Linked DNA regions of Nothobranchius furzeri. The protein of the gene in region 2 purifies or fractionates together with the protein of the main gene of each other region. This does not show direct contact. Links are inferred from orthologs where the notes say so. Each region holds a gene or a part of one and is shown on either strand. Other genes may lie near its edges. The genes, in order: cav1 and trpc1.

Region 1 (9,397 bases), on a different chromosome or scaffold from region 2:
AAATTACAATCTGTATCTAAAAAAAAAAGCAAAAAAGCAAAACTTTGTTTCCCCTAAAATATACAGAAATGTATCGAAATTTCAGGAAATATTTTTATCACCTTCTTTTTAATTATGGACTGGTGTTCCATCAAAGGGCAAATAATTAAAACAAACTTTGTGTCATTTCCTGGAGTTCTAACATAAACACGTCTGAGAACTATCAGCTCCTCGGGTTTCAGTGCCTCTGAATGTGTTTTAGACCAGCAGCAGCATAGAGCCTCCCTCTCAGCAGCGCAGCCACAAAACCGCTCCGTCATCCATTTAGTTTTTCCACCGCTACAAATCCTAAAGTGGACCAACTCTGAGCCAGTTTCCACAACTCTGATTGAGCCTAAATGAGAGGCCTTCTTCAGAGAGGTACACACACCGCCGCAGAGAGGGGGTGGAGACGCTTTAGCTTTTTAACCTTCAGGGTCACACCGTTAGGGCAAAACCAGCGCATATGTTTCATCAGATGCAGCGTTTTTATTTAATAATTTATTTCCTTATCTTTTAGAAGGATGAGCCTCTTGAGAGGAACCGTCTCGTTTGTGAGTTACAAAGTTAAACGTTTCAGCTCAGAAAACAAGTTTCTGGATCAAAGAAAACCAGAGAAAGTAGATCCATCCGAACCAGCCTGGTTCTGAGTGGAGCTGATTCAAAAGTCCAGTTTGATGTGAAACAAAGGGGTCCAATGGTCAGCATGTGACCGGTTGGCATGGCAGTTGTATTGTTGGGTAAATAAGGCTGAGAGCTATTTCCAGAGCTCTGTCTTCAGGCCGCTACACTCGACTAGACAACGTGGGTCCGTGAAGGGGCCGGGTGTGCTGGCCCTTCAGCCGTCAGAGTCAGAGGACGACGACACAAGTCCAGTGTTTGTTAAAATGTCACTAGTGTAACCATGAAACACAAGTCTGCTCAAACACATTCAACACAATCAGGTTTGTACTCGTTTCTGTTCTTCCTACGTTCGAGTTTTGACTCAGACAGACTTGTTTCACTTATTCGAACGCCCTAAGCAGCTACTGTTCAACACACAGATGTGGAATGACCTACCAAGCGCTACCCGGACAGGGCCGTCCTTGTCGACTTTCAAGAACGTCCTGAAGACCCTGCTCTTCAGAGAGCATCTTCTAAACCAGCACCCTCCCCGCGCCCCCTGCACCCCCCCCCCTCTACTGTCCTCTCCTTGTTCCCTTCCCTCTATGACTCACTGTGCTGCATCACTGCCACCTAGGATTGACCGATTAGTGTTCGTTGTTAGCTTCAAGGGCTACCTGCTGCTTCATTATCACTTGTAAGTCACACATTAACATAAAATGCTTTGAACATTTGATGGTTGAGCTGTGCTGTTCACTAGATGTTGGTTCTGATGGGTTGTTCTCAGCTGCAGTCAAAGGTTTTGTGTTCTGGTCCTTATTCACACCCTGAGCTCTGATCAGCGACATCAGGTTATTCTTGTTCACAACTTTTCTACAGAAATAAACTTCAGAACTTGTGAACTTTCCCTCTGAGACATTAGCTGGTCTCTCACTGAGATGTAAATGACTCACCAACCTTCTCGACTCTGGTCCTGCTCCTTCTGAAAAGTTTTCTCTACTCACGGGATCGTGAGGGACACACACACACACACACACACACACATACACACACACACACACACACACACACACACACACACACACACACACACACACACACACACACACACACACACACACACACACAGCTATAAAAAGACCGAGTGTCTCCACAGGAGGAAAACACCCTCTCTGTTCTGCAGTCTGAGCGAGTCATAGAAGTGTTTGATGTGGCCAGAGGTGATTGAGGCCAGCTGCTGCTGAAGGAAGGCTCAGATACTGTGTGTGTGTGTGTGTGTGTGTGTGTGTGTGTGTGTGTGTGTGTGTGTGTGTGTGTGTGTGTGTGTGTGTGTGTGTGTGTGTGTGTGTGTGTGTGTGTGTGGTGGAAGGGATTCCCCACTTGTGCGTTTCCACCGCAGCACACTGAACACACTCCTCTATTTAGCCGAGCTGATTCATGACCTCACAGGACCTCAGAGCTGCCGCAGCTCTCTGTGAAGCCGCGTTTCGGAGCTGGAATCTGGGACGAGGCAGACAGAAGCTCCTCAGCTCTGTTCCACTCACCCTTGGAGAGCCCTGGTGGCTACAGCACAGGTACACACTGGGGATGTCGGAGGCGGAGCTTCTTACAATGATAGTTCAGATCCTTAGATGTGTGTTTCTGTGGAAAAGTTATGAACAACTGTTGTCTCACTTACTGTAGGTAGCTGTGTGAACAGCCTCAGTTTGGGGGAATCTGGCTAAACTCACGAGCTAACAGTGAGGTCACGATGACCTCAGAGCTAACGTGTCATTTTAAAATGATTCTAATCACTAGAGCGTTTTCATGGTTCAGAGCATGACTCCACACTGGGTCCTTCTCATGTTACACAATTGTTCTGGACCATTAATATTGTTATTATTATTATTATGAAATGTTACAGATCTTCTAATTTAGGATGAAAAGAACTTTAAAGATTTTATTGAAATGTTGTTTGCATGAATGTATTTTTAAAGAGACAAGCAGGTTAAAATGCACACTTGTGTTATGCTGACTTCCAGATTCTGCGTTTTATCTGATCTGCCACAAATCTGTCTTTGATGAAAGTTGCCACGACCGTCTCAGAGTGTTAACGCTAGGCCATGCAACCCACTGAGAGTCATCTAGAACCTTACCCTGAGACCTTCAGGAACCTCTCTTGCTGGCACCATCAGCAACAGTTGCAGACCAGATGCCAACATCTGTTTTAACTTTAGCAGCCAAACTGCAGCCATGACAACAATGAAATAAAACACTGGAGCACCCCGGTCCTGACTCACCTCTGAAAATACTTTTGTAACGCTAAAAAGGCAGGACCCCCCCCCCCCCCCCACCATGACGAAACTAGAGAACGTTTTGTCATTTTTCCTGTTATCGTCATGTGATATCAGATTGTTTCGCCTCCTGTCTTGAATGTGTGTGTGTGTGTGTGTGCAAGTGTGAGTGTGTGTGTGAGTGTGCAAGTGTGTGTGTGTGTGTGTGTGTGTGTGTGCGAATGTGAGTGTGTGTGTGTGTGCGAGTGTGAGTGTGTGTGTGTGTGTGTGGGTGTGGGTGGTGGTTGTGTGAGTGTGTGTGTGTGTGTGTGTGTGTGTGTGTGTGTGTGCGAGTGTGAGTGTGTGAGTGTGAGTGTGCGTGCATGCGTGTGTGTGTGTGGGGGGGGGACTGGAGGGAGAGTCTGACTCACTTTCACATTGGAGAGCTGGGGAGGAGGGAGAGACAGCATGAGTGCAGACAGGAGCAGAGACGCTGGAGAGCAGTTTTCCCCTTTTTATCCAACAGCAGCTTCTAGAAGGTCACGTGGGTAACATGCATCCTTTTATGTGTTTTTGGAACGTCTCTTAAAAAGATTACCGTGAAAGCAGCGAGATCTTCAAGTGGACTTTAATCATAGTTGGTTCCTTTTACTTTGAACTGCAGCATCTCAGCCAATTTTTCATCCCAAGAAAATCCTCAGTCAGTTCCCTCTCCAAAAACTGTCAGATGCTAATAAAGAAGCATCTCTGCTCCCTTGGCTCAGGTGCTGGCATGCAGGGAGGAGGGGGGAGTAGAATGGGAGAAAATGTAGGAGGAGGGAGTGGTGAGGGATCCCATCAGATTAGCAGGGTGTTTCAATGTTTTCACAAGGGTAGACTCAAGCAGGTGCCTCGCTGCTCCCTCTCCTCTCCTCACCTCCTCAAACTAAACACACTTCCAGCCTTTGTGCGAGCAGCCTTCTCCCTTACGGAAAGAATTTGCTTTCATCACAAAAAGGCAAACAGCGACTGTGGGAATCAACGCGCGCAGCAGCAACAACAGGAAATTCGTGATGTTTCCTCTTTAGAGCGGGATTGTCACGTTTCAGAGCTGATTATGATAACTTCTTTCAACTTCACCGCGTTTGCAAAGCTTCTTCCTAATAGGGGAAAGACACGGAGGGGCTGGAGATCAGCGCGCAGCCGGAGCGCGTCTCCGAGACGCGCACTTCAACAGCTGCCAGAAGTTTGGCAACGTTCTTAGACAAACGTAAAACTATCACCTTGATTTTCTCTCAACACTTCGTTTGCAGCAGTTATACAATAAAGCATCACTCCAGCTGCACCTTTTAGTTCAAACGTCAAACTTAAAGCTCTGACTCACCTTGACGACGTTGTCGTTTATGTGCTTGGGGTCCCGGTTGACCAGGTCTATCTCCTTGGTGTGGACATCCTCCATGGCCTTTTCGTTCATACTGTCGTTGTCCATGTCTTTGTTGTTCGGTTTGTAAATGTTTCCTTGTTTTCTGATGAAGGGTGAATGCGGAAACTCCTGTAAGGATTCACGTAGAGGAGGAGGAGGAGGGAAAGAAAGACAGAAAAAGAGAAGCGTGAGGAGGAGGAAGAAGGGTGCGCAGCGCGCTGAGAGGGAACGAAGGACTGGAGCAGCCAGCCACACAAACTGGGATGGGTTTAAATGAACGCAAAGTGAAGCACCACACCCCTGCGTTCAGCCGCAAGGGGTCCTCACCACGCAGGCTGCTGCTCCACATCCTGACCCACCTCACAGCGGGCTGGAATGCACCTGGGCGCACGGAAACCTCTCTTTTGGTGAATGCGTAAAAGTACGCATCCCCAAAAATCTATTAAACCAAATATCTTTAAATTAATTCATGTCATAAACTGCAACGAGTCCTCTCCTCTCGATAGGACCTGTGCGACACGTGATTATTAATAAATGGTGCCAAAACATGCAGGTTTTCCGTGTTTACTACATTAAACCCGAATGCGTAAAAGTGCGTCAATCTGCCACTTTCTCGTTTTTTACGCAAATATATGTGTTTTCGTTCACTTTCGCCAACGTTATGGGTAATATAAATAAAAAGGGGTTCTTGCTGACAAATAGACTGGTCTTAAGAGTGTTCGCATCACGCAAACGTTCTTAAAGAAAACTCCAAAGTCCTGGAGAGGCGACAAGCTCCAGGTGTGAGGGATAGAAACATGAAATTCCCCCTCGTGGGTCCAATAAATCCTACAGAGATGTATTACCTCCTTAATGAAAAAATATCAAAGCTCAAAACTCTGAGACAAACTACAGCTGAGAGTCATACTGTACCTCTTCTGTTTCGTCCTTCAGTTCTCCTGTCATTCTGTCCGCGACTGGAGGAATCCTCGTTCAACCAGATGCGACAGGAGAGGAAACCGAGTGGGAGGCGTGGAGGCACACTCCCAGCTCCGCGCTTTCTGTCAGGGACCTGCCTCCAGCATGCCCGAAGGGAAACCCGCTTTTCAGGGGACTCCTGTATTCACAAGCGCTGCAGCGTGTCCGCGCTGGAGGAGACTCTCACACGGACTGAAGGGCTTCTGAAATAAATTGGCACAGAGCAACTGCGTTTGGGGATCAAGGCAGAGGATAGCATGGCTTATTTGTTGGGTGAAATGTGGGCGTTAATAGGGAATGACAAGGTGTGGATACCTGCAGCTCGCAGGGAGAAAGAGCCAGATGGAGAACACCTATGGATCGTTTGTAAAATCATACACCGATCATATTGTAAAAAATACAAATTCACAATAAAAACCAAAGCTATCCAGGATTTAGATGGTTTTAAACAAAGTTATTTGCTAACGTTTGCATTTAGACTGCGGTCCACAGAAATGTGAAGAGGTCTCTCCATGTTAATCTATGTTATATCTGAAGTGGTTCTCGGCACATTCAGATATGATCCATAGTCAAACCGTCTCATAGAATCCCATCACCAAAGCAATTCTGAGACCTTAGGAGCGTTCTTCACCCGCTCTTATTTTGGTAGGCTGCTTTGTTTTTACACAGGTCTGATATTGTAAGTTGGCTGATTATTGAGTTAGATTTCAGTCATTTTCATCAATTTCTTGTTGTCTATATTCATCCAAAAATGTATTTTTCATTTAATGTGTGTGTGTGTGTGTTGCTTTATAATTGGGTTCATTTAAAATGTTTCACTTAATGTTTTAAATACAGTAACACAAAAATGTACAATACATGTTTTGCCTCATTCAGTTCATAATAATAAAAATAGTCATGATGGTAAATTGCCTGCATTTGTGCTGGGATCTTCTCTCCAGCCTTCTAGACTCCTGAAACCCCCCAAGGTGCTTTATAACACAATCAGTCGTTTAGCCCAACCCCCCCCCCCCCCACACACACACACATATTCACCCATTGGTGATGATGAGCTACACTGTAGCCACAGCTGTCCTGAGGTGGACTGATGGAGGCAAGGTTGCCGAGCACAGGCGCCACCGGCCCCTATGACTACCAGCAGCAATCCACTCTCCCTCCTGAGCTGCTGCTGCCCATGATAAATAAATAAAACTACTTTATAATAATCACATTTTTATTCGTAGAGTTACATGTAATTGTAGCCTTTCATGATAAAAGCACGCCGAGGAGAATCCCTACCTAACATCTTTGTTGGTATAATGATCTGAGGTTGTTGATGTTGGGGTTCTCCCTGCATGTTGTAAACCTAAAACTAACCAGATTTTCCCACAAAACCAATCAAGTTTAGTATTCACTGTTGGTCAGAAATATCCCGGAGAAGCCCCCGTTTTATGTTTTGACTTTCCTCTTTAGGCCCCAGATGAATGCAGATCTAGTTGTATTTAACAACAAAGTTATGTTACAACACCTAAACAAACCAGAACAAACAAAGTAGCTACAGTTATAGATCTGATTTAGGTGTGCTTTAAATCCACACCTTCCCAGGTGCAGCCTGTCCACGCAGCCCAGCTGATCTAGAACGTTACAGTACCACCGCTTGGCCGTTGAGGATGGATTGTTTTGTTGTTGGAAATCTTCTGCAGAAAGCTCAAGTTCTTCATTTCCACCAGGATCCTTTTCTCTTTTATTGTGAAGAACCCCTCTGTGATGTCTCCTCTGGACAGTTGCATAAATAAATAACCCCCACCTACTTCCAAAGGTGCGGCCTTGAGCGCAGATCAAAACAGAGCAGATGTGCACCTGTTTCACATAAAGATGTTATCCTGCTGCAGCCTGGAACAGTTTCACACTGAGACAACAACACCAAGAGCTGAAGACAAGCAGCAAAGTGTTTGCATGTGAATCCTCCCGAGGCATCATCTGTGGGAAACCAGTTACCGTAATGACAAGGCACGCTGGTGTCACTCAGAACACTGACAGAACCGGTTCTGATTCAGCTGATTCTGCTCAGGTTGTAAAGGTAAACCTCTGTGATTGTGAGGAATAGCTCTTTGCTGAAGGTCATTTGTGCTAAATTGCCTGTGACTCTAACCGGTATGCACACAGCTGAGGTAGTCATGTGATCGCAGTCAGTAGCTCACTTTAGCACAACCATGACGATCTCTGCTGCTGTCGTTGTCCAGGGACAGACGTCTGGTCAGAATCCTGCTCTCTACAGGTTCCAACGCAGTCATCAGGAGAGACGAGCACTGAAGGCAGCAGCCAGAGAGGTTCTGTAGCTGAACCGCGCGACAGAAATGTGACTTGAACAGGTTTATGGTTCAGGATAAGCGAGGGGTGAGGACACTTGCTGCTGGAGGCCAGGGAGGAGGCACTCTGTGTGGGAATTCTGACTCGGGTGCTAGATTATTCCTGAGACATGGTAGAAGATGGAAACAGTTGAAAGCTGACAGGGATGAATGAATGAATGAATGAGAGGGGTGAAGATGAAGGGATGATGTGGTGAATGGTTGAGGATGATGGATGGGTGAGGTTGAAACTGAGACCTGAGCTATAAACATTCCTGGGTGATCAGAGGCTCCGCCCCTTAGAAAACTAGTTAGATTTAAAAATAAATAAAATGTTTTAAGTGAAATGTTTTAAATGTTTCTTTCTGATTTTAGGATCTGCTTTGGGACACCCTGACCTCAGCAGATGATCCAACGTTACCTTCAGTCATAAATCACTGATGCAGCATCTCAGGGTTTATGACCACAGGGAGCAAGCCTTAAAACATGAGTGAGATTTTCTTCTCACATCATCGCTTCACACCAGTATTCAGGTGAAGGTCAAAGGTCACTTACTTACCTACAACCTGCTATCCCTCCTGGGGTATGGGCTGCCAACAAAGGATCTCCAGGCATCTCTGTCCTGGGATCCTCTCTCCAGCTGGTCCCACACCATTCTCATGATCTATCTCCAGGTCTCACCCCAGGTGGGTGTTGGCTGATGTTCAAACCTCTACAAGCTTCCTCCGGGCTGAGTTTTCCAGAGGCATCAAGCTCTTCAAACCAGATCATCTGAAAGCTTCAGAGTGAACTGATTCAGCGCAGAAGTTCAGTCAGACTGTCTAACTAGAGATGGTGACGTCGTATGCAGTTTCTGACTAGGCTGATTGAGAATGTTTCCTTCAGCTTGTGGACTTCAACACACACCTGTCTCGCCTTGGTGAGGCGAGAACTTTGTTGGGGTCTGTGTTCTTCCGAAAGGTGGAGTGGCAAGTGAAGTATTCAGGCCACGAGGAAAGAGTCTCTGCAGCTCAAACTCTGTGCAGACCTGCAGGTCTAAAAGTGGAGCCTCAGGTGACGTCCGTCAGCCCACAGCTCATCGCTGTATAGTGAGTCTGTTATGCAGCCTCAGAAACAGGATTTATGAGACCTCTCTGACTCTAAGCTGCATGTCAGCTGCACTAATCTCTGGTGACAGAAACACACACACAGAAGAATCAGCTGGAGCGGAAAACGTCTTTATTTTCATCATGTAGAAACAAACGTTTCTCACAGCTAAGGACCAGAAGTTACGTTATTTCGAAAAGAAAAACCACTCCCTAATATTCATAAAACCCAGATGAAGTTGTAAAGAAAACAATGAAACTGAAGGCAGAGGTAAGCACAAACACCTGTTTAGATGAGATAGTAATGATAAAGACCCACTTAACTTGTTTGTCCTGTTATTTGGACATCTCTCCTCTGATTGGCTAACAGCAACACAACTCTTCCATTGACACTGTTTGCTCTGCAATGTTGATGTTTTATCTCCACAAATAAAACAAGCCTAGAGGAGTTCTGCTGTGTGGTGGAGTTGCTAAATCGGTTAGCTTCTACTAGCCAAGACATCCTTTGTTGTTTCATGTTCGCTAAACCAACAACAGCTCGCCCCGTCGCGAGTCACGATGAGTCAGTCCATGAATGCTGAGTGACAGTGTGACATAGATCTGTCAGGCTTTTCTAACCCGAGTGTTGCACCACCCTATTTCCATCAGAAGCTCACGCAGAAGATCGGTGTAAGAGACATTCAGCCTGCATGGAAATGAAATAAATAAAAAGTTTACAGTTTCTCATTGAACTTGCCCTTTAAAGCAGTTCAA
Region 2 (9,262 bases):
TACAGATAATGGACTTTGGGCAGACCTTAACAGGAATCTCTCATTTTTGCTGCACCGTGCAGGACTTTCAATTATGTTATGGTCTGTAGGGCTGGATTCTTCTCCTGTTTATACTTCTAAAAGAGCAACAAGTATTCAGCAATAGAAATCAGATCCTTATGGCATAAGAGGCTGACCTAGGATCCAGAGGATCAGGAGGTAGTCGATCATCTCCAGCGCCGGGCCCATCAGGTTTTTCTTTTGCTCGTTGTACACCAAACAGTAAAGGTTGAGCAGCAGCAGGAAGGTCATGTAGGAGGCGCTGTGGATGATGAACTTGACGAACGGTGTGTGGATGATCTGGCCGACTCGAGAGCGCGGCACCAGAAGGTAGCAGACGGAGAGCAGCGGCCAGAGCAGCGCCACGCTGGAAACCGTGCCCATCTTCAGGCAGGTGTGTTTGCGCCGGTAGCTGGCCATTTCTCCAAACCAGACGGTGTTGAGGAACTGCTGACAGTTGGACTGGGCCACAAACTGGCAGGAGAAAACAACAGAGGAGAACTTTTACTCAAAAAGAACATTTTTTAGTTGTTTATTTTTACTGATTTTTGCATAAATGTGCATGCTGATATGTGAAGCTGATATCGTTCCTCCTGCTGGAAACTATATTCTACAAGCCATCCTGTTCCAGCCACCCCGGCTGTAAATGATCCAGCTTCGTTGTATTTAAAGCTTCAGTTTGTCGCTGGAAGTAAGTACATTGAGCTGATTTCCCAAAAACAAGCACATAATGTTCTACAGGAGCTGTTAAATCTCACAGCAAGCACACTACATAGCAGATCATTAATCTTTTATTTTGACCTCCATCAGATTTTAGGTATACACTAAATGAAAGCCGAGATCCTTTTATCTGCTGACATTTATTACAATTTGCAGACTTTCACTAACTGACCTCTTTCTGGTTGTACTTGATGGCCAGTTTAAGCCGGCTAAGGTTCATGCGCTCCTCCAGCAGGCCTCTCTTATCAACATGATCCTCGCTAGAGGTGTGATTAAGGATCACCTCCAGCTCCCGGGAGTTCCGAGCCTGAGCCAGCAGATCCTTGGCAAACATCTTGCACTGCTTGGCCAGCTCGTCATAGTCGTTCCTGCAGAGAATAAATTAGACGCCGTCAGAGTCCGTAAAGGCTTTTGCCTTTCGCTGATATCTCTGCATTAACTTCCTGTATACATGTCCGTGGGATTGTTCCACTGGATGCTCAGAGATTCACCTGAACTCCACCTCCACCAGGCTGAGCTCCTTTAGGTCTGCACTGAGCTCAAACGCTCTGAGAATAGGATCCTCCTCGGTCAGCATGATGAGGGAAGGACTCGACAAGCAGCGGTAGATGTCCAGGCGGAACCTGAAAATAAACAGAAGTTGGTTAAAATGGTAGAAATAACAGTATACCATATATTTATGTATATAAAGGGTAATAGGGATGAATGAAAATAGATACACTCGATACTTTGGGGTACGATATAGAATCAATATTTAAAACCAGTATAAATTATTTTTTGTTGAGAATTGACGTGTAAATATTTACTGTTTGTCTTTTGTGTGGTGCAATTAGATCTCCGACTGCTAGGTGGCAGCACTTTTTACTGCCTTCATTCTGAATGACCCACAAGATCTCGTGAAAACACCCGGGGCCTCATTTATCAAGCTTGCTTACGCACAAAACGGGTTCGGAAAACTGCGTAAGCAACTTTCCACACAAACTTTGGGATTTATGACAGAAAACTTAGCGGAAAAATGTGCGCAACTTTAAGTTGACTGAGGACCTGGCTTACGCACATTTTGGACATGGAGAGCACCTGCAGTGCTGCTGCTGAGAAGGATAAAATCATGAATTCCAGCAGCATTATCACTTGTACCGCTTTGTGTGCACACAGAACAAGTCTGAGTCTGACTAAAAGCCAGAAAATTGAGCAGAATGTTCAACATCACCACCATTTTGGTGCAGAGTTGTGTATCTGTGAGACATACAGACCACCTGACACTGTTTACTGGTCACCTTGTGCTATTTTTGTCTCGGGTAAAGACCCCCCTCCTCCCGGGTGAGCCCAGAAGATGTCGTTATTCTTCTCAGAAGAGGAGCGACCATAAAAGATCTAAAACCAGAGTGAGTTTAGGTGAAGCCTACACCAGATGGACCCACATAAAACATTTCACATATCGGCTGCAAACCTCCGCACACTAGATGTTGCTTTGGTACTCGTGTTCCATGTGACACCTTGAATAACTTTTTAATTATGAAACTTTTTTGTTATGAGCTGAATTTTGTTTGTTCTTTGCATGATTATCTTAAATATTCCTGATCCATAAAAGGCTGTGGACCATTAACGAATGTCTTCATTTCACAGCTGTAAAATAAGGCAGAATATTCCAAGTAAGCTGCCTGGTTTGAATGCAACAGAACACTTTTCTGGTACATTAAAGACAAAGGTGTCACAAATCAAGCTTTCCAGCATAAATATAAAAAGTTATAGATGTGTCACTGAGCTCCTTCTGCACTTAATAACTTAAAAATAGAATTTTTAGCTTTTATTTACATATCAAAAACAGCCTGCTGTTTAATTCACGTCATGTGACGACTTTGAGGTTATATAATATTTCAATAACTTGCTTTTAGCTTAATGCACAGGATTGCATTCACTTACTGTAGAAGTAAACGCAACAGAGCGGATTAAATAGGCATAACAATCCATTTTCTGGCTGATTTATTTGTGTTTGCTTCATAATCTGTGCTTTGCAGAGACTGTGGAAGGATCGTTGTGCTTTGTGTGGGTGGAAGAAGAAAACAGCCCAGTGGAAGAGAAGAGATCAGAAAATTCTCATCTGCAAACCCAAGATGGAATAAGTGTCTATGTTTGTCTGAAGATAACACTGTTTTCCTGTTTTGTTTGTATAAAAACTCTGAATGAATTTTACATTTGAACGTAAAATAAACGGCGATGTAAAAAAAAAAAATCAATAAAACTGGCTCGCTGATGCTAGATAACTAAAGAACGATTATAAAGTCCATTAGCTATTCTCTGTGGAACACGGATTATGCTGTAATAACAGCTAAAAGCATCTCTAAAAGGCTTTTGCATAAATAATTTCTTTGTAGATGCAACAAAAACACTTGCTAGCTCTCACTGAAACAATGATCTCTGGCATATTGTTTCTGTAGGATCCTTTGGGCCTGTACCTGGAGTGTCTTAAGCTGTCCTTCTTGTTTTTAGCATTGCATAGCATGCATTCACAGCCAACTGCATGTGGCCGGGGAAGCGAGATGTCCTGCTTCAGCAGCATCGTCAGGATCTCGTAGTTGTTCCTGTGTGCTGCCAGGATGACTGGAGCCACGTCCATGGTGGTGGAATACTCTGGGTTCTGAATCCGCTGCATTAGTTTCTAAGACAAAATAAAACATATCTAAAATATTGTTCAAAAATAAAAACATTATTCGGTTGTTTTAGAGAGGTCACAAGAGGAGACTCACTGCGATAGACGGCTTTGAGGATCGCCTCGGTCTGTGGTTGAGAAGGATGTCCACAGCTCCCACCACCTCTGAGTCTATGGCTACCAACAAGGCATCTGTTGTCTTCTCACACACACACACACACACACACACACACACACACACACACACACACACACACACACACACACACACACACACACACACACACACACACACACACACCTAATATGTGAAAAGATCATACTTATAATGCAAGGCTTAAAGTGATGCCTGTGTGTTGGTTACCTGGCAACCATACTCAAGAAGAAGCTGCAGGATGTCTAGATTCTCGTTCTCGATGGCGATGGTCACCGCATCTCTTCCCAGAACATCCACGCAGTTGACGTTGAGCTCGCCGTGTCGGTTCTCCTCAAGCAGCTTCTTCACCATGTAGTAGTCACCTGGGGAAATGCACATTCGTGGTGAATTTAGCTCCTTCTTCTACACTCAAACACCAGGACTCACTCTCACACTGGAGGTAGTAACAAAGCATGCTTGGCTCCAGCTGCCCCTTTAATCTTGTGTAACAATAACATCTCCCTCAAAGGACAGTCTCAGCTGCGCACATGTGTTTACACAGACTTTATATGGCCACAGTAACAGGGACTGGCTTTACGCTTAAAGCATCCTTCCCCTGTGAAGCATTCTGAGCTTCAGCAATGAAAAACTCGCCTAAAAAATGAGACACGTGTACAAATAAGGTCAAAATTATGCTTTACGTTAAACTGAATTAAAATAACAATATTAAAATGTGAAGAAATGTTAACAAACCCTTCTCGCATGCCAGGAGGAAGAGCTTCTCATCCAGCGTCGTTTCCTCCTTAACTTCCCTCACGTCTTTCAGGGCCAGGAATTTGTCCGGAGAGGAGGCGTCCGTACCCTGGTACAGAGCTGCCATGACGACGGAGAGCGAGTACGGCCAAGCACTGATGTGCATCCCACTAGAAAGCGGCGACCATCACACAAAGAAGCCCGTCATGTGAGCTGACAGCGGAGGAATCCTTCTGAAGCCTGACGGAGCGCCGCGGAGCTTTCCAACCGTCGTCATTGAGGCTAAATCGATAAGCTTTGCTAACACCGTCGCATGTCCCCGCACGCTGTTTTTCTAGCAAAAAAATATTTTAATGCTCGTTTTTTCGACTTCAAACAACGCGTTAGTCGACGACAACCGCGGCCACGGTCCGATAGGGTGACGCTGTCACTTCCTTCGCCGTGTTTACATGCACCATCTTCTCTCCGTAGACGTTTAGTGGTCCTGATGCTGATGGCCAAGGATGCTACTGCGCATGTGCCCACCTCCACGCGCGCGCTGGCGTGTCTCGCACGCGCAGGGCAGCGGTGAGTCATGATTACGTAACAGTCTGTTGTGTTCATTGATCATAAACGGGCCAAACCTCCTACATGAAGCAAAAATAGCTAATTATTTAGGATGAACAGGAAACATGCTTCTGTAGACAAAATATACTAGACTTCATTTTAGCTTTATAATAGAATGACAGAACAAAACAACATAAAACGACTTTGTTAATTTATGTTTTTCCTTAATAAGATGTTTTTGGTGTTTTAACGGGTATTACTATGTTGAAGAAAATTAATTTGAATACAGATTATTACAGATCTTTTTACTAAAGAGTCCGATTCTGTGAGCTTTTGAAGCGTCAGTCCAGTAGAGGGGAGTGTGCACAAAGCTTTAATTAAAAAACATTGGATCAATGCAAAACGAGCATCTGTGGGATGGAGAGATCTGCTGTTCTTTTATTTTTACAGAATGTGGAACTGTATTTTTACAAAACATGTATCAAATCATGCAATAATAGTATAACATTATATAATTAAGACGTATTTTGGAATAAACTGTTTGAGCATTTTCCTTGAATAACAATGGGATTTTTGTCAAAACATATTCTCCTGATCCAGATTTCTTTCAAATGCCCTTTGTGATTTAGAAATTGCATTATCTGAATCCACCTTATTGCTTAGCTGGTGCAGAAACGGCAGCTGCATTGGCATTGTTCTCATTTTCATCAAAAATGCTCTAGACTAACAGACTTCCCTATTCCCCCAGTAACACAGCTGTATTTAAATCAAATGTAAAAACAACAAATTATGTCAAAGCAATTGGTGAGTTAAATTAATAACACTGATAGATAACACCTGACAAATAACAATGATGAATGAAATGTATGACTAAATCATGGCAATGATATAAAATGTTTGAGATATTTGTATAGTTTTTTTCTTTTCAGTTGAGCCAGTAATCCAAAACAGGCAATCTTTTTATGAATATGATTTTATATCAATAAATCACGTGGGTTCTTCAGCACATGGACTACAATTTTTCCTCCAAATGACTATTTTCCCATTATTATCACCGCATCACTAATTAACTTGTGTGTTTTCTAGATTAAACATTCTCTTTAACTGTGATGTCGGTTAGCTTTTTCCTTTTTATGGATCTGGGAAAACCTATAGAGGCAAAAATTAGGGAAAAAATTAATTTAATTTAAAATATTGATTCAACCCTGCAGTTTGTGGAGAGATCCACATAATTACAGAACTTGGACTAGATGTTGGATTTAAACGGGGCGTCGATCCTTGAGACAGCAGCGTGGTGAATTGTGGCTTTGAAAAGCAAAAAAACTAAATTAAAAATGTTTCATCAAAGCGATTTCTGTTTCGCTCGTGTTCCAAAAACGGATGGGTGGAGGTGGTTAGACTGCGAGCTCTCCATCTCATAATAACAGCATTCAACCATTTCTGTAGCTTCCACTTCACGGGCGGGCGGCAGAGCCAATAGCGAGGCTCGATGCCGCGCTACGTCACGCCCCGCGCCCAATAGGCGCTCTCTAAGGGCGGGACGCATGTCCTCTTGCTTTCTGATTGAATCTGCTCGGTTTGTATTAGTTAGACGAGCCCTGGAGTAGCTCGGGAAGCCGTGACTGCGGACCCAGGCGCTTCTCGTTAACATCCCGACATGATTTAAGCGCGCTGCGGAGGAAACGCGCTCCATGTTGCGTCTGAGCGGAGCTGCACGGATCCTCAGGATGTTTGCTGCGCAGAGATGCTTCTGCTGAGCATGGACGAGAAGAAGAAGCAGGGCGTCTGTTACAATGAAGGCGTCCCCTTTTTTGTTGTGAACACGGGCCACACCGCTGAATCACTGCAACGCCACTATGGACAACTTAAAGAAGGCGTCTGTCCCCCATCGCTCCCATGAAGAGCATTGCGCAGTGCAGTGAAAACTGGAAATCGTGCTGCCGAATAGGAGGGGAATATATTACCTAATCACCCGCTTCTGTACTGGGAATTTATTCCCAGTGCAGCCCCCCCATACACACACTCTACAGAGCGTTGGTGCATTTTCAATGTAGAGCTTTGTCCAGCGGTGGGAGCCACACTCCAGGGGCACAGATGAGAGGCAAACAATACCATCAACCACTGAAGTTGACAGCGCCTTGGGAGAAGGATGCTGGCTTTGGGAGGAAGCTCAAAACCTACAGGAACCACACCAAGATAATAGCACAGCCTGGGATCGTGATGAAAGTGCTCCGCAGAAAGAGGATTGTGTTGTTTATGGCCTATTTCCTACTGCTGGTCCTCACCATGCTCAATTTGGCTAATTATAAATGGACCAAGGAGCCACAGCAGTGCAACCATCAGATGAGGAGCACCACTTATCAGAGCAGATCTGACATTCGCTTCCTTTACAGGCCCTCTCTGGCCAAAAAGAGACAGCTCATCTACGTCCTGACCACCTGGAGGTCGGGCTCGTCCTTTTTCGGGGAGCTTTTCAACCAAAATCCAGAAGTGTTCTTTTTGTATGAGCCCATGTGGCACATCTGGCAGAAGCTTTACCCTGGCGACGCCGTGTCTTTACAAGGGGCAGCCAGAGACATGCTTAGCTCCTTGTATCGCTGTGATCTGTCTGTTTTCCAACTTTATAACAGCCCCGGAGGCAAGAATTTCACCTCCTTGGGACTGTTTGGGGCCACCCTGAATAAAGTGGTGTGCTCCTATCCCCTCTGCTCAGCCTACAGGAAGGAGGTGGTGGGGATGGTGGATGATAAGGTGTGTAAAAAGTGCCCCCCTCAAAGCCTTAGACTTCTGGAGGAGGAGTGCCTCAAATATAACACCATAGTCATTAAAGGGGTGCGTATCCTGGATGTAAACGTGCTGGCTCCTTTAATGGAGGATCCATCCTTGGATTTGAAGGTGATACATTTGGTTAGAGACCCGCGGGCCGTCGCTAACTCCAGGATTAAGTCTAGACACGGCCTGATCAGGGAGAACTTACAGGTGGTTCGCAGCAGGGACCCTAAACTTCGACGGATACCTTTTGTGGATCCGGGCCACAAAGCCAATAAGAAGGACGGCTCCGACTATCACTCCATCGGAGCCATGGAGGTGATCTGCGACCGCACCTCCAGGACCTTAAGGACTGCTTTAAACCCGCCCAGCTGGCTGAAGGGGAAGTACATGGCGGTGCGGTACGAAGACCTGGTGGAAAACCCGGTGAAGACGCTGAGGAGCATCTACCGCTTTGCCAACCTCACCAACAACCACGACATCGAGCTGTTTGCTCTCAACATGACCAGCGGCTCCAGCTCTTCCTCGAAGCCGTTCATCGTCTCCTCCAGGAACGCCACACAAGCCGCTAGCGCGTGGAGAACGGTGCTGAGCATTCAGCAGATCAAACAAGTGGAGGACTACTGCCACCACTCCATGTCTGTTCTGGGCTACGAAAGAGTGAGAACAGCAGGGGAGGCCAAGGACTTGAGCAAATCCTTACTGACTCGCTCCAAATTGTGAAAATGAAAAAAAAAAAACCCAATCAAACATCCTCACCACCAAAGACCTAATTTAATGTCCATTTCTCATCGAGTGCCGTTCCCTCTTATTGTGGAATCAAAGCTTTACTTTTCAGTGTTTGAGGAGCTCCACTGGCCACATTTGGAATGTATCATGCTTTTATTTTTTTTCTCGGTCGACTCTTTTATACTGGATACGTTTGATGATGCGAGGCTGCGGACTTGAATAATCTGAAGGAAAATAACAGAAACTACATTTCACATATCTTTCAGTGACACTTCAAAGTAGATGTTTTGAGATTATTTTTGAATGTTCAAAATTTTTTAAATATCTAATTTTTCAGTCTCCATACTGTCTGTAAACGTAAAACTAGCGGGTAAAAAGAAAAAAATAGAAATAAATCCATTATTAATGTTTATTTTTAGGGTCCGTTTGAAGTTGGAGACAATCAGTAACTTGGTTTGTTGACGTGCCATAACGTGGAGGTGTCATCAGAGCAGCTGTCCTGAAATACTTTTTTTAGTTTTTAAAGAAACGGGGTTTTCTCTTTTGTTTTTATTTTATTTTGTCAGCGTCCTTGTGGGGATGATGATGATGTCATGCACTGTGGACATAGTCACAACTCTGGAGCTGAAACATCTCTGTCGGTGTGAGCAGTCTGTTCTACCATTTCAAATGTTTACAATTGCTTGCTCTTATGAAAACACCTGATCTGAGAAAGTTCAGTAAAGTTCACAGGAAACAAGCAGTTCGTGTGTTATTGTTGACAGAAACGAGAGGGAAAACGGGGGAAGCGGTTCTCAAATCGCTCAGATTAAAGTTGTTTTGTTAACTTGTTCATTTCGCCACCGTTCAGCGAGTTTTACATCAGGCTTCTCTCCCTGAAGGGCCGCTGCGTTGTCATCCATTAGTTGCCATTAGCTACA

Evidence for each region.
Region 1: the proteins of trpc1 (region 2) and cav1 purify together in Homo sapiens (affinity purification with western blotting; 3 studies listed by BioGRID and IntAct, with this or other methods). This does not show direct contact. The link is inferred for Nothobranchius furzeri from reciprocal best matches to the Homo sapiens genes TRPC1 and CAV1.

Annotation. Positions count from the first base shown.
Region 1 is NC_091744.1:52,440,319-52,449,715, reverse strand, and holds the start of cav1 (caveolin-1), read right to left. Parts: upstream 5,410-9,397; 5' UTR 5,221-5,409; coding exon 5,188-5,220; intron 4,405-5,187; coding exon 4,237-4,404; intron 1-4,236. UniProt on the Homo sapiens protein: May act as a scaffolding protein within caveolar membranes. Forms a stable heterooligomeric complex with CAV2 that targets to lipid rafts and drives caveolae formation. Mediates the recruitment of CAVIN proteins (CAVIN1/2/3/4) to the caveolae.
Region 2 is NC_091747.1:48,686,931-48,696,192, forward strand, and holds the start of trpc1 (short transient receptor potential channel 1), read right to left. Parts: upstream 4,836-9,262; 5' UTR 4,465-4,835; coding exon 4,299-4,464; intron 3,929-4,298; coding exon 3,774-3,928; intron 3,609-3,773; coding exon 3,507-3,608; intron 3,419-3,506; coding exon 3,216-3,418; intron 1,383-3,215; coding exon 1,251-1,382; intron 1,128-1,250; coding exon 932-1,127; intron 514-931; coding exon 177-513; intron 1-176. Other genes in the region: chst2b (carbohydrate sulfotransferase 2), read left to right, coding at 6,939-8,336. UniProt on the Homo sapiens protein: Forms a receptor-activated non-selective calcium permeant cation channel. Forms a heteromeric ion channel with TRPC4 or TRPC5 that has reduced calcium permeability compared to the homomeric TRPC4 or TRPC5 channel.